Arabidopsis thaliana: one gene and its partner. Each later gene encodes a partner of the first gene's protein in a complex. Each region holds a gene or a part of one and is shown in the gene's direction. Other genes may lie near its edges.

Evidence for each region. The genes of interacting proteins can lie anywhere in the genome.
Region 2: AT4G20980 (region 1) and EIF3K share a complex: the UniProt entries of both Arabidopsis thaliana proteins name them as parts of the eukaryotic translation initiation factor 3 (eIF-3) complex.

The regions. Positions count from the first base shown.
Region 1 is NC_003075.7:11,213,755-11,222,517, forward strand, and holds AT4G20980 (Eukaryotic translation initiation factor 3 subunit 7 (eIF-3)), read left to right. Parts: upstream 1-3,126; 5' UTR 3,127-3,242; coding exon 3,243-5,018; 3' UTR 5,019-5,033; exon of another isoform or gene 5,034-5,314; 3' UTR 5,315-5,424; exon of another isoform or gene 5,425-5,626; intron 5,627-5,813; 3' UTR 5,814-5,884; downstream 5,885-8,763. Other genes in the region: AT4G20970 (basic helix-loop-helix (bHLH) DNA-binding superfamily protein), read left to right, coding at 1,505-1,636, 1,736-2,101, 2,384-2,458; ACA4 (alpha carbonic anhydrase 4), read left to right, coding at 6,018-6,108, 6,206-6,420, 6,504-6,610, 6,695-6,797, 6,883-7,041, 7,162-7,215, 7,298-7,372. UniProt on the Arabidopsis thaliana protein: mRNA cap-binding component of the eukaryotic translation initiation factor 3 (eIF-3) complex, which is involved in protein synthesis of a specialized repertoire of mRNAs and, together with other initiation factors, stimulates binding of mRNA and methionyl-tRNAi to the 40S ribosome.
Region 2 is NC_003075.7:16,037,494-16,042,467, reverse strand, and holds EIF3K (eukaryotic translation initiation factor 3K), read left to right. Parts: upstream 1-1,659; 5' UTR 1,660-1,850; coding exon 1,851-1,964; intron 1,965-2,054; coding exon 2,055-2,111; intron 2,112-2,204; coding exon 2,205-2,318; intron 2,319-2,548; coding exon 2,549-2,599; intron 2,600-2,680; coding exon 2,681-2,747; intron 2,748-2,941; coding exon 2,942-3,024; intron 3,025-3,207; coding exon 3,208-3,402; 3' UTR 3,403-3,817; downstream 3,818-4,974. Other genes in the region: CDC20.2 (Transducin family protein / WD-40 repeat family protein), read left to right, coding at 67-336, 417-998, 1,092-1,235. UniProt on the Arabidopsis thaliana protein: Component of the eukaryotic translation initiation factor 3 (eIF-3) complex, which is involved in protein synthesis of a specialized repertoire of mRNAs and, together with other initiation factors, stimulates binding of mRNA and methionyl-tRNAi to the 40S ribosome.

The DNA.
Region 1 (8,763 bases):
TCATAAACCAAAACCCATAAAAAAAATTAAGGATGTGTAATAGAATGTGAAGTACATTCAATGAGAACTGATTGTTGATGTCGATTGCGTTACAAATTTGACAATTCTTTTTGGATTTTGGTGGAAATGTGAACTAACTGACAACAAACATCAACCATGTTGGATTTGTTTTTGTCAAAACCGATATATCTAGAGATATTCGAAAGAAAGAACGAAATAAACACTATACAATAGTCAATTTTAAATCACTTTATGATTTAACAATCCTAAGTTCCTAACTTCAAATTTAAGATTTACAATAGCATGAATTTTAGTCTTTCTTATTGTTTCATAGCATTATTGTATTAAAAAATTACTCTACAGTTACACCATCTCTCTTTATAATGGTTGTTTCAATTGAGTTAATCATTTACTATTAATCTGAAAATTTGTAGTATGAATGTTATTGTTGGTACACAAATTGGTGATGGAACAAAAGATTAAGAGGATATCTTTTATGTCGACAATGGTCGAGTGGTTCAACAAAATCCACGCAATCGCCTGAGCGAAAAAGTTGACCATACTCAGCCCCACCACTCTCCACTTCATAACCTTTTTCTTTTATCCTTCTTCCTTTTGCATTTATACAAGTATTTTCCAATGACGGAATGCAGAAAGAAAAAAATTTGTTAAGCAAATGTCATAAAATATAAAAATATCTATAGCAAGTGACTGTAACTACGATTAACTCAACCGATTGGAGAATTGAGTAACTTATATCGAACTCAAGTTCGAACATACGCTATATATGAGAGTCAAAATTATTGATCAAAATATGCAATGTAATGGTCCAAAATTCAAAATATTACCAAAAAGAAATTCTATAAGTTAATGTTGGAATTATGATAATAAAAAAATACTAATTGATAGATATGAAACAATTTAAGACGATCCATTTGAGACCCGGGAAATAGATTAGTTTATCAAGTATTAATTTATAAAGATTTTACTTTGGACTATTTGTTCAAAAAACTACGTGATGATGAGTTTTCTATGCAAAATCAATTACCGATATGTGGATGATTCTTGTCTTTTGTAGTAATGTTGGTTATCTTTCACTCTTAATGAGAGGTTTAATATCATGTGAGAGTTAACGAGCTTCTTATTTGAGTCAATTGTAGATAAATAGCTTAACATATGCCCTTATAAACTAGCGTTGATTCTCAATCCAATTTGAAACTATTAACAGAACCATTAAAAACTATATATGAACACATAAAATATATAATTGACCATAACGACGAGTCAAGATATATATTTAAAGAACTTACTTTTTTCCACTTTGTTTTGCTTTTTTTTTTTTTAGTCTTTGGTACATATATATTACAAACCCTTTTCCAGTAAATAGTTAGCACAAACTAATTATCAGATGTCACTTAAACCAACCTCCTTCTTTATATAAGCTTGGTTAACATTGAGTTTGTTATCATGGTCTATGTGAAACAATTCAGGAATAAAAAAAGAAATGGAGCCGAGCCATTCAAACACAGGTCAATCAAGATCTGTAGATCGCAAAACGGTTGAGAAAAATAGAAGGATGCAAATGAAGTCTCTCTACTCAGAACTCATCTCTCTTCTTCCTCATCATTCTTCTACGGTTTCTTCCTCTTGGCCCTCTTATATGCTTATATAATCTAAGATTCCATGTATGGGTGATGATCTTAATATTCTAAACTCTTTTATTATTTCATGTTAGGAGCCTTTAACACTACCTGATCAGCTAGATGAAGCTGCAAACTACATCAAGAAGCTACAAGTGAACGTGGAGAAAAAGAGAGAAAGGAAAAGGAACCTCGTTGCGACTACAACTTTGGAGAAACTGAATTCCGTCGGATCTTCATCGGTTTCGTCGAGCGTCGATGTCTCCGTGCCAAGAAAGCTGCCAAAAATCGAGATTCAAGAAACTGGTTCCATTTTTCACATCTTTCTTGTGACAAGCTTGGAACACAAGTTTATGTTTTGTGAGATCATTCGTGTTCTCACCGAGGAATTAGGAGCTGAGATCACTCATGCTGGATACTCCATTGTTGATGATGCTGTCTTCCACACCCTTCACTGCAAGGTATAATTCGGAAAGTAAAACATTTTTTGCAATGGAATTTAAGAATCAAACTTTGCTACTACTACTATGTTAAAACTAGGTCTAATCCAGCTTGTATACACATTGGGAATGAGTTCAAAGTTAGGGAATGATATTTATACTTGTTGTTTTTATATTTAATAAAACTTGCACTCAAAAACGCTAAGAAGCTGCATGTTCCCATCTGATTGTTAAGTTTCTACTAGCTGATTCCTATTAATATCCATATGTTAGTAAACTAAATTTAATTTATATTTTATATAGGTGGAAGAACACGATTATGGAGCTAGGAGTCAAATTCCTGAAAGACTGGAGAAGATTGTGAACAGTGTTCACTAATATTGATTCCTTGTTCCTTTATTAAAAAAAAAAGTTCTATGTTTTTGTTCCTTTTCTTGAATTATTTTTGGTGTTAGCTAGATTCCTTTTCTTGAATTGTATCATGTGCTGTGAGAGTGATGTTTCATTTGTAAGCATAATATATACTTTTCTCTACTTAAAGCTGTGAAATATATTTTGTTTTTTGGTATCAACAAAGCTGTGAAATATATGAAACTTAGGATGATGATTTTCAAGAACGAAACCAAAAAAAAAAGTTTCTTAGAATTAATACATGAACGAGCGAAATAACTTCACCTTTTTTCAATGTGTTATACTTGCCCAAGCATTTGTAATCTAGTGATAGGAGAAACTTTGGTGATAGGTGAAACTCTCAGATCCGAGTTTGAATATCCCGTGGTATTAGTTAGAAAACATTTAAATTCGGGACAGATAGTGTTGTGGTCCTTCGGGAAAAGTTTACTTCGGAGCACTTTGGTGCGTTTCTATCGAAGCTGACCAGATCAGCAAATAGAGTTTATCAAAAAAAAATGTGTTATACTATTTCAAATTGATGAATTTGAATTCTAAATTTTTATTTTATTTTATTTTTTTCTCAAAGTCAGAAATGAAAAACATGATTTAAGACTTCAAGTGTTATATATGGGTTTTGAAGAATACTAAAGCCCATGAGCCCAAACATTAACAAAAATGTTTTTTTCTTGTACCTTCTCTCTTCAACGTAGACTAAAGAATTAGGGTTTCCGCTTTCCACACACACAGCTGCAACACTATCTTCTCAGAAATGGTAACCGAAGCTTTCGAATTCGTCGCCGTTCCTTTCAATTCCGATGGCTGGGGACCTCCAGACGCTTCCGACGTTTCCTCCTCCGCCTCTCCCACCAGCGTCGCCGCCGCTAATCTTCTCCCGAACGTTCCTTTCGCTTCCTTCTCCCGTTCCGATAAGCTCGGCCGTGTAGCTGATTGGACTCGCAATCTCTCTAATCCATCCGCTCGTCCTAACACCGGATCCAAATCAGATCCGTCTGCAGTTTTCGATTTCTCCGCTTTCGCAATCGACGAAGGCTTCGGTCTCGCTTCCTCCGGTGGTAATCCCGACGAAGACGCAGCTTTCCGTCTCGTCGACGGTAAACCTCCGCCGCGTCCTAAATTCGGACCTAAATGGCGTTTCAATCCTCACCACAATCGGAATCAGCTTCCTCAACGGCGAGATGAAGAAGTTGAAGCTAAGAAGCGTGATGCTGAGAAGGAACGAGCTCGTCGTGATCGTCTCTACAATAACAACCGTAACAACATCCATCACCAACGCCGTGAAGCTGCCGCTTTCAAATCATCCGTTGATATTCAGCCGGAGTGGAACATGCTTGAGCAGATCCCTTTCTCAACATTCTCGAAGCTCTCGTACACAGTTCAAGAACCAGAAGATCTTCTTCTCTGTGGTGGCCTTGAGTACTACAACCGCCTTTTCGATCGCATAACGCCGAAAAACGAACGCAGACTCGAGCGTTTCAAGAACAGGAACTTCTTCAAAGTCACTACTAGTGATGATCCTGTGATTAGGCGTTTAGCTAAGGAAGACAAAGCTACTGTTTTCGCTACTGATGCTATATTAGCTGCTCTTATGTGTGCTCCTAGATCTGTTTACTCTTGGGATATTGTTATTCAACGTGTTGGTAACAAACTGTTCTTTGACAAGAGAGATGGATCACAGCTTGATTTGTTGTCTGTGCATGAGACATCTCAAGAGCCATTGCCTGAGTCTAAAGATGATATCAATTCTGCTCATTCTCTAGGTGTGGAAGCTGCTTACATCAATCAGAACTTTTCGCAGCAGGTTTTGGTTAGAGATGGAAAGAAGGAAACTTTTGATGAAGCCAATCCATTTGCTAATGAAGGTGAAGAGATTGCTTCTGTTGCTTATAGGTATAGAAGGTGGAAGCTTGATGATAATATGCATCTTGTTGCGAGGTGTGAGTTACAGAGTGTTGCTGATCTCAACAACCAAAGGTCGTTTCTTACTTTGAATGCTCTTAACGAGTTTGATCCTAAGTACTCTGGTGTTGATTGGAGACAGAAGCTTGAAACTCAGAGAGGTGCGGTTTTAGCTACAGAATTGAAGAACAATGGAAATAAGTTGGCTAAATGGACTGCACAAGCTTTATTGGCTAATGCTGATATGATGAAGATTGGTTTTGTCTCTAGGGTTCATCCTCGTGATCATTTCAACCATGTTATATTATCTGTTTTGGGGTATAAGCCGAAGGATTTCGCTGGACAGATTAATCTCAACACTTCTAACATGTGGGGGATTGTGAAATCCATAGTTGATCTGTGTATGAAACTAAGCGAAGGGAAGTATGTTCTTGTGAAGGATCCATCGAAGCCTCAAGTGAGGATTTATGAGGTTCCACCTGATGCTTTCGAGAATGATTACGTTGAGGAACCGTTGCCTGAAGATGAACAGGTTCAGCCAACTGAGGAAAACACAGAGGGAGCAGAAGCAAGTGTAGCTGCAACTAAAGAAACCGAGGAGAAGAAAGCTGATGATGCTCAAGCTTGATGGTTATAAAGTCAGGTAGTTCATACAAACAACTCTCAAATTCAAAAGGCGGTTACCATAATATGCTTGTTGGATTTGATTGAACACTTGTTTAGGATCGTGAATTTATACTTAGAACCCAAGAAAATGCAGAAAGTTGGTTCTTACTTCTTAGCCATAGAATCTTGTTCTTATTCATCTGAATTTCATTCTTATAGTTTAGAAACTGGTGACTTAGATTAATTGATGATCTTTATTATAAGTATAAACGTCGTATGAAGCATCGTCATTCACAATTTGGATACTATATTCTTCAGGTCCAAAGTCTACACCTTTCGTTTCTGGGTTCTTTTGAGAGTTGAAGCTTCAATCAAACAACAACAATGGAGGTTCCTTTTTTAATTATCTTGTCCTTTTTCAAATTTTTGTGGTACTGCTGTAATTTTAAGTCAGAAATGAGATTGTAGAACACTATCTTCGTGACATCTTTTGGAAAATCATTACGGATTGTTTACAGAACAGAAATCTTTTTACTATGACTCTTATAGCCACCAAATTTTCTTGAATCATTTTGCATTAGTTTTATAAAATTTGGTATTTTATGGTTCCAACTTTTGTTTGTTTCGGTCGTTTGGCGTATTCTCTTATGAGCTTGATCCTATTGTCCTGGTCGGTTTTTATCTCTGTTAAACTGACATAGATCCTATTGTCCTGGTCGGTTTTAATCTCTGTTAAACCGACATACTTCACATATATTTATTATTATAAACCCCAAATTAGAAAACTCAACCAAAATGGTTTTTACTAAGCATTCAGTTTTTTTTTTTTTTTTTTCATGTTTCCAATAGTAACATCAGATTATTAACTAATAATCGTAGCAACGGCAAAAACCATATCAGAACAGCAGAACAAACATCCCCCAAAAGCCTCCTCTTAAATAGGTTGTCTCTAAACCCTTCAATCTCCAAAACATAATAACATACTCCATTAAGCAAAATCTAATCTCGAAAGAAGAGAAACATGGATACCAACGCAAAAACAATTTTCTTCATGGCTATGTGTTTCATCTATCTATCTTTCCCTAATATTTCACACGCTCATTCTGAAGTCGGTATGATTACTACATCTCTATTGCATTCTAGTAAAATTAATCTTTTGTATCAAAATTCAGATTTAATGATTTGTTATTAACTTTAATCTGAAAACAGACGACGAAACTCCATTTACTTACGAACAAAAAACGGAAAAGGGACCAGAGGGATGGGGCAAAATAAATCCGCACTGGAAAGTTTGTAACACCGGAAGATATCAATCCCCGATCGATCTTACTAACGAAAGAGTCAGTCTTATTCATGATCAAGCATGGACAAGACAATATAAACCAGCTCCGGCTGTAATTACAAACAGAGGCCATGACATTATGGTACGTAAAACTTTATTATAGAATTCAGTTATTCTCACTTAACTATATTATTATTACAACACTAATCATTTGAAATCTTAAAGGTATCATGGAAAGGAGATGCTGGGAAGATGACAATACGGAAAACGGATTTTAATTTGGTGCAATGCCATTGGCATTCACCTTCTGAGCATACCGTTAACGGAACTAGGTTTGTTGTTTTCATTTTTAATGAGCATTTTCAACTATAGACCCATATTAAGTGGTATTTACACGATATTTGGCATTATTACAGGTACGACCTAGAGCTTCACATGGTTCACACGAGTGCACGAGGCAGAACTGCGGTTATCGGAGTTCTTTACAAATTAGGCGAACCTAATGAATTCCTCACCAAGGTATCATATTTAGATTATTGTTAAACATTGTATTTATAGAGTTTGTTATTGATTTGTTATTTTCAAATTTATAAAAAAAATGCAGCTACTAAATGGAATAAAAGCAGTGGGAAATAAAGAGATAAATCTAGGGATGATTGATCCACGAGAGATTAGGTTTCAAACAAGAAAATTCTATAGATACATTGGCTCTCTCACTGTTCCTCCTTGCACTGAAGGCGTCATTTGGACTGTCGTCAAAAGGGTATTTATATTTTTGTTTCGTTTTTATAGTAATTTTCTTCTTTATGCATTACATATTCATTTTTTTCAATATTCAAATTGCAAAATACATCAGTAATTTTTTTTACGTCGGTATATGTAGGTGAACACAATATCAATGGAGCAAATTACAGCTCTTAGGCAAGCCGTTGACGATGTAAGTAGTCGAAATTTGCTAATGTAGTTTCATTAGCTAATATTGATTTTATTACTAATTTAGTTAGTTGACTGATCAATAGGGATTTGAGACAAATTCAAGACCGGTTCAAGACTCAAAGGGAAGATCAGTTTGGTTCTATGATCCAAATGTTTGATATATTTACTTCTATTATTTTGTAATTTATACCCTTTTAACAAAATTATCATTTTGTAATATTTGAGATTTTTTTCAAACTTTAATAAAGAAAACAATTGATGAGTATTTTTTTTTAATATACCATTAGTATTCCACTATAATAATCATCATCGGAAAAAAAAAAACACGCCTGATTACATCAACGTTGCTAAAACAGTATGTCCTATAAAAGCTAGGCAAGCAGTGTTAGCTACTAAATCCAACTCTAATCAAGCAGTATAAAAACTTGAAACAACAAATAAACATAAATATGTATGGTCAAAACAAAAAAAAGTGAGAAGGAGTCATATGTTCCTTCAAAACCTTTTCATTTCCTGATGTATTCAATACAATTAATGTATTCCATCAAGAGGATTAATACATTCGATTAATATCACTTTCTTTCACAAATGTTTTTTTTTTTTGACAATTATATCATCAAGCCAATCCATATCGAAGAATCTATACTAGTCCCTAATACGATAACCACGTGACAAAAATGTTTACACAAAAGAAGCTTTGGTAGCAATTTGTCTTGGTTTTACTCATCTCTCATTCGATACGGTAGAAAACAAAGTCGATCCATAATGAACAATAATAGAGTATCAAAAACAAGGAAGATTATACAGTCGAATGAAGGTGAAACCCCTGAAATAAGCAATCAGAATCGCAATATGAACCAAAGAAGCAAGAGAATTGCCGAACGTAAAACCATATAGAGGAAGAGGCCAACTTAAAAGAGCCTATATTTTACATTTTGTTGTTTAGGATTTCAGTAACTTTATGTTTTTTTCGTCACTTATGTATCAAGTTTCTTGTTATTATTTTTCTATGAAAATGAAAGAAATTCAGTCTATGGAATGGAAGCATGAAAATTAGACATTACATATGTATAAAAAAAAAAACAACAATGTATAGATTTAACGTATCTCTTATTCTCTTACACAAGAGATTTAAAATAATATCTCTTTGTTTGACTTTAATGTAATTTTTAGTAAATCCAAACAAACAAACAAAAAAAATAAGTTCTGAATACTAGTCTTTTTTGGTTCGGGTCGTTCAACAGAATCTTTCTGAATGGGATTAACGGTTTTCTTCTCTGTTAAATTATCACATTTCACATTAGCTACTATAGAAGCCCAAATTAGAAGAAAAAATGAACTGTTTTAAATTTTGTCACTGAAAGTTTCTATTTTCCAATAAAATCAAATACTACAACAAATGATTAACTAATAACCGTAGCAACTGCTAAAGTCATAAAAGAACATTAAACAAACCTTCCCCTAAAGCCTCCTTTTAAATAGGTTAAATACCAAACCCCTTTCCATGTCCAAAACATACTCAAGAACATTAAGCAAAATCAAATCTGAA
Region 2 (4,974 bases), 4.8 Mb from region 1:
TCACTTACTGGTTGCTGCATTAGAGTTGTATTGATCTGTTGCTAAACTTTCTGTTGTGATTAACAGACTTCTGAGAGAACCTTGGATGCACCTGACATTGTTGACGATTTCTACCTCAACTTGCTGGACTGGGGAAGTGCAAATGTCTTAGCCATAGCGTTGGACCACACTGTCTACTTGTGGGATGCTTCCACTGGTTCTACATCTGAGCTTGTGACCATTGATGAGGAGAAGGGACCTGTCACAAGTATCAACTGGGCTCCTGATGGTCGTCATGTTGCAGTTGGACTCAACAACTCTGAAGTCCAGCTGTGGGATTCTGCATCCAACCGTCAAGTAATTACTACTCTCTCTCTTTTATGTTGAGATATAATATCCGGTGTTCTTAGTCTGATGTGTTTCTCATATTTCTGCAGCTGAGAACATTAAAGGGTGGTCACCAGTCAAGAGTAGGATCACTGGCATGGAACAATCATATCCTTACTACTGGAGGAATGGATGGACTGATCATCAACAATGATGTGAGGATCAGATCACCCATTGTGGAAACTTACAGAGGTCACACTCAAGAAGTTTGTGGGCTCAAGTGGTCAGGATCTGGACAACAACTAGCAAGTGGTGGCAACGACAATGTGGTACACATCTGGGATCGTTCTGTCGCTTCCTCAAACTCAACCACACAATGGCTGCACAGGCTTGAGGAACATACATCTGCTGTGAAGGCTCTTGCGTGGTGCCCTTTCCAAGCGAATTTGCTTGCAACTGGTGGTGGTGGAGGAGACAGGACGATAAAGTTCTGGAATACTCACACTGGGGCTTGCTTGAATTCAGTAGACACTGGTTCCCAAGTTTGTTCGTTGTTATGGAGCAAGAATGAAAGAGAGTTGCTTAGCTCACATGGGTTTACACAGAATCAGCTTACACTTTGGAAGTACCCATCCATGGTGAAAATGGCTGAGCTCACTGGTCATACATCAAGAGTTCTATATATGGCCCAGGTAACGTCATCAATTTCTTTAAGTGGTGAAGTAGTTTGAGTCTTTGAGGTCATTCAGTCCTTAAACTTGTGTTGTTTGTTGTGTTTTCTACAGAGTCCAGATGGTTGTACTGTAGCTTCAGCAGCAGGAGACGAGACCCTGAGGTTTTGGAACGTTTTTGGAGTACCAGAGACTGCAAAAAAAGCTGCACCAAAAGCAGTTGCCGAGCCATTTTCTCATGTGAATCGTATTCGATGAAGCTGTTGAAGACTAAAACAACAAGGAAAACCCATTGATTGTTACAAAAAGAAACTATATATTTTTATTTTTATTTTATTACCAAAGGATTCATTCTTCGTGAATATAAAGATTACTTGTATATATTGAAATTTGAAAAAAGAAAGATTATGATTTTATACTCTTGAAGGATATCCACATTTATTATTCTACTGGAAACAAAGTGAGACTTCATGAAGTTGTGATCAGAGAACTCGTAGATGCTGACAGTTTTGTTTGAAAAGATGTTCACTGGTGAACTTTTGGACCATGGTTAATCGAATGCAAACTCTAGTGTAGTATCAATCTTTAAAAGCAAACTGAGAAAATATTTATTTACCGAGTCTGTGGCATCAAAATGGCTTAAAAATAGTTATTTACTAAACAACCCTTTGTAGTTTCTCTGTCATCCTAATTTAACCCAAACGTTTTGTCAATTGCACCATTAGCCCAAACGACAAAGCTTTGTCGTTTTGGCTTTTAAACCCTAGATTCGTCTTATCAGCGAATCTCCTCTGCACATTCCTCAGTGATCTATCAAAGTTCGAAGAGACCGACGCAAAAGGGACAGAAACGGAGAAGGAGAAAGAGGCAGAGATGGGAGTAGAGATCCAATCGCCGCAGGAACAGAGCTCTTACACCGTTGAGCAGCTCGTCGCCCTTAATCCTTTCAACCCTGAAATCCTGCCTGATCTCGAAAACTACGTTAACGTGCAGTTTCCTTTCCCTTTTCTCTCAAGCCGGATTCTGTTGTAGAAATCGTGTTCCATTGATTGTTGTTGGTTTCGTTATGATTTTCAGGTTACATCGCAAACGTATAGTCTGGAAGTAAACCTATGCTTGCTTCGGCTCTATCAGGTGCTCTAGTTGTTCTTAAGCTGGACCTTTTGATACCAAATTCAAGAGTTTTAGTGTCTCTTTTCGTTAATTGGTATTGTTGCTTTTATGCAGTTTGAGCCTGAGCGCATGAACACTCATATCGTGGCTCGAATCTTGGTCAAGGCTCTTATGGCTATGCCAACTCCAGACTTCAGCCTTTGCCTCTTCTTGATTCCCGAAAGAGTGGTATTCTTCTTTCCTCTTAACTTCACAATGTTTTGCTTTCTTACATATATAGCTTATCGTAGATACAGAAGAAACGATTGTTCAAATGTTTCTGACTCAAGTTATTATGCCATTCCAAGTTATTTCTGTCAGTTCAGTCTGTGTACTGAGCATTCATGATAAAGTGTGAGTTTCAATGTGTTGGATTCTTGAGGACTAATAAATGTACTTGTTTGGATTGTGTGTTTCAGCAAATGGAGGAGCAGTTCAAGTCACTAATTGTTCTATCACACTACCTTGAGGTACGCAAACATCAGTATTAGTTAGTTGAGAGTTGAAAAGGTGTGCATTGAGTATTTAAAGCACTTGTTTTTCTTTTGCAGACTGGGAGGTTCCAACAGTTCTGGGATGAAGCTGCCAAGAACCGTCACATTCTCGAGGCTGTTCCAGGTAACTAACTTCTGAATCATAAATAAATCGTCTACTAATAACAAATTTCTAGATGTAGATTTGTTACTTAAGGATATTTGTGTGTAGATGTCTTATGGTACGAACAAAGTCCTCAGTAGTGGTTTATGGTACTGTCTATTCATTTTATGATTGTGTCTAGTGTAGATGTCTTATATGCGAGAGATTAAATGCAGGTTTTGAGCAAGCTATTCAAGCATATGCAAGTCACCTTCTTAGCTTAAGCTACCAAAAGGTTCCAAGATCAGTGCTGGCTGAGGTATGATGTTTGGTTTATGATCTCGTTTTCACCACGGATAGCTTAAGTCATCAAAATAGTAGAACTTCGGATGTGAAATCTTTTACTTTCTCATATAATTTTCTGTTACGAATATTCCACATCATAGTTCTGGAAATCTAATTTGTTGACCTTTTATTTGTCAATAAATGACAATTTTCACAGGCTGTTAACATGGATGGTGCATCTCTAGACAAATTCATCGAGCAGCAAGTGACTAACAGTGGATGGATTGTTGAGAAAGAGGGTGGAAGTATTGTCTTACCACAAAATGAATTTAACCATCCGGAGCTCAAGAAAAATACAGGTGAGAATGTTCCCTTGGAACACATTGCCCGCATCTTCCCCATCCTTGGTTGAACCAATTCATGAGAACACTGCAAATTTTCCTTTTGTCTCTTGTTATCTTGTGATGTACACTTTTAAGACACCGTAATGTGAATTTTGGCAATGGCCTTCCTCTTTGCAATTTGACAGATTTTCTTAAAAATCTAGTAGACCGAGACTTTGCCATAATTAGTAGATCTTCATAGTCTGAGCTCTGCTTCTTACCTTTTTTTTTACCTTCCATGGATTCCAATACTGGTTTCTCAACAAGTGTTGGAATTGGCTCGTTTCTGATTGATTATCTTCTGTTTACTTCATTACATCTAAATAAACTAAACGAATCTTCAGACAACCCAAACAATTGTCTTCTTTAAAAAGCAAAGGAAAAAAAAAACTTTTGTTTAGGTTTCTTGGAATATAGAAACTGACACGGCAAATTTGTATTGAGAAAGTTTGAAATACAAAGAGACTGTCTATGTCTTGTCGTCCTCTCTACACAGATCACATACGAAGATTGACAGCCATCCATTTGGAAGCTCACATGTTGACACCAAATCATGTCACGTGCACAATTTTCTCTTTTCCCATGCATATTTTGACTGCTCCCTATGTGATAAATTTGACTGATTAAACTATAATTAGTTAGATCATCTCGTATCTAAGATGATTGCTTAAAACAATACTATTATTCTACTAACAACTAGGTTATTCCCAAGATCATAACTTTTGATTTTGATGTAACTAGTTTTGTAATTTTGTACATATATGAGACTTTTTTGAATTGCTTAACAGAATAAATAATTGAATTTTATGAATATAATATATAAATTTTCAATTTGATCGACAACAATGAACGGTGTTTTATTTATAATTGTTTTTTTGACAATCATGAACCTAATGATTTGTTTTTTCTATTTTATTTAGTCGACATAATGAAGACTAATGAAGATACAATATGTGATTGAAGTGAACAAGTTAGATTTAATTAAGATACGTGGAGGATATAAAGAAGGGTGATAAATACGTGAATAAAAAGTGAAATAAACAAAGGCAAACGATCAGACAGACAAGTCGTGAACATAAAAACGGGAGAGACAGGAAAAACAAAAGAAAGCCAGACGAGCACCAAAAAAGAAACTGCAAATCTTCGTTTATGTAAATCTTCTTACCGTCTCTCTCTTGTATTTCTTCAATTTCAAAGGTGGCTTTTTTTTCTTTCTTTGTTGGGTATTAATCTGAGAGAAATTGAGGAAAACTGTTTTCCCCTTTCTATGTTCTCAGCTTGGCACTTTTCTTTGAGATTATGGTTAATTGGTTCCCTTTTGGAAATTGATTTCAAATCTTATCCAGAAGAAATTTGGTGCCTTCTGTTTTTAAACAAATTTTCTAGAGTTTCCGTGTTTAATTTTTGTTTCTTATTTTGTTTTCTATTAAAAAATTCGTTTCTTGCTCGTGTTAGTTTTCGCATTTGGAGTTTCCTGACAGCGAGAGTTGCTCGTTTTCTGGGGTCACAACAGAAGAATTCGAGCTTGGAAGATTGAAATTTGAGATCTTTTGATCTTGAATCAAGCATAAATTCTGGATTTTGAAGTTTGAGAGTGACCC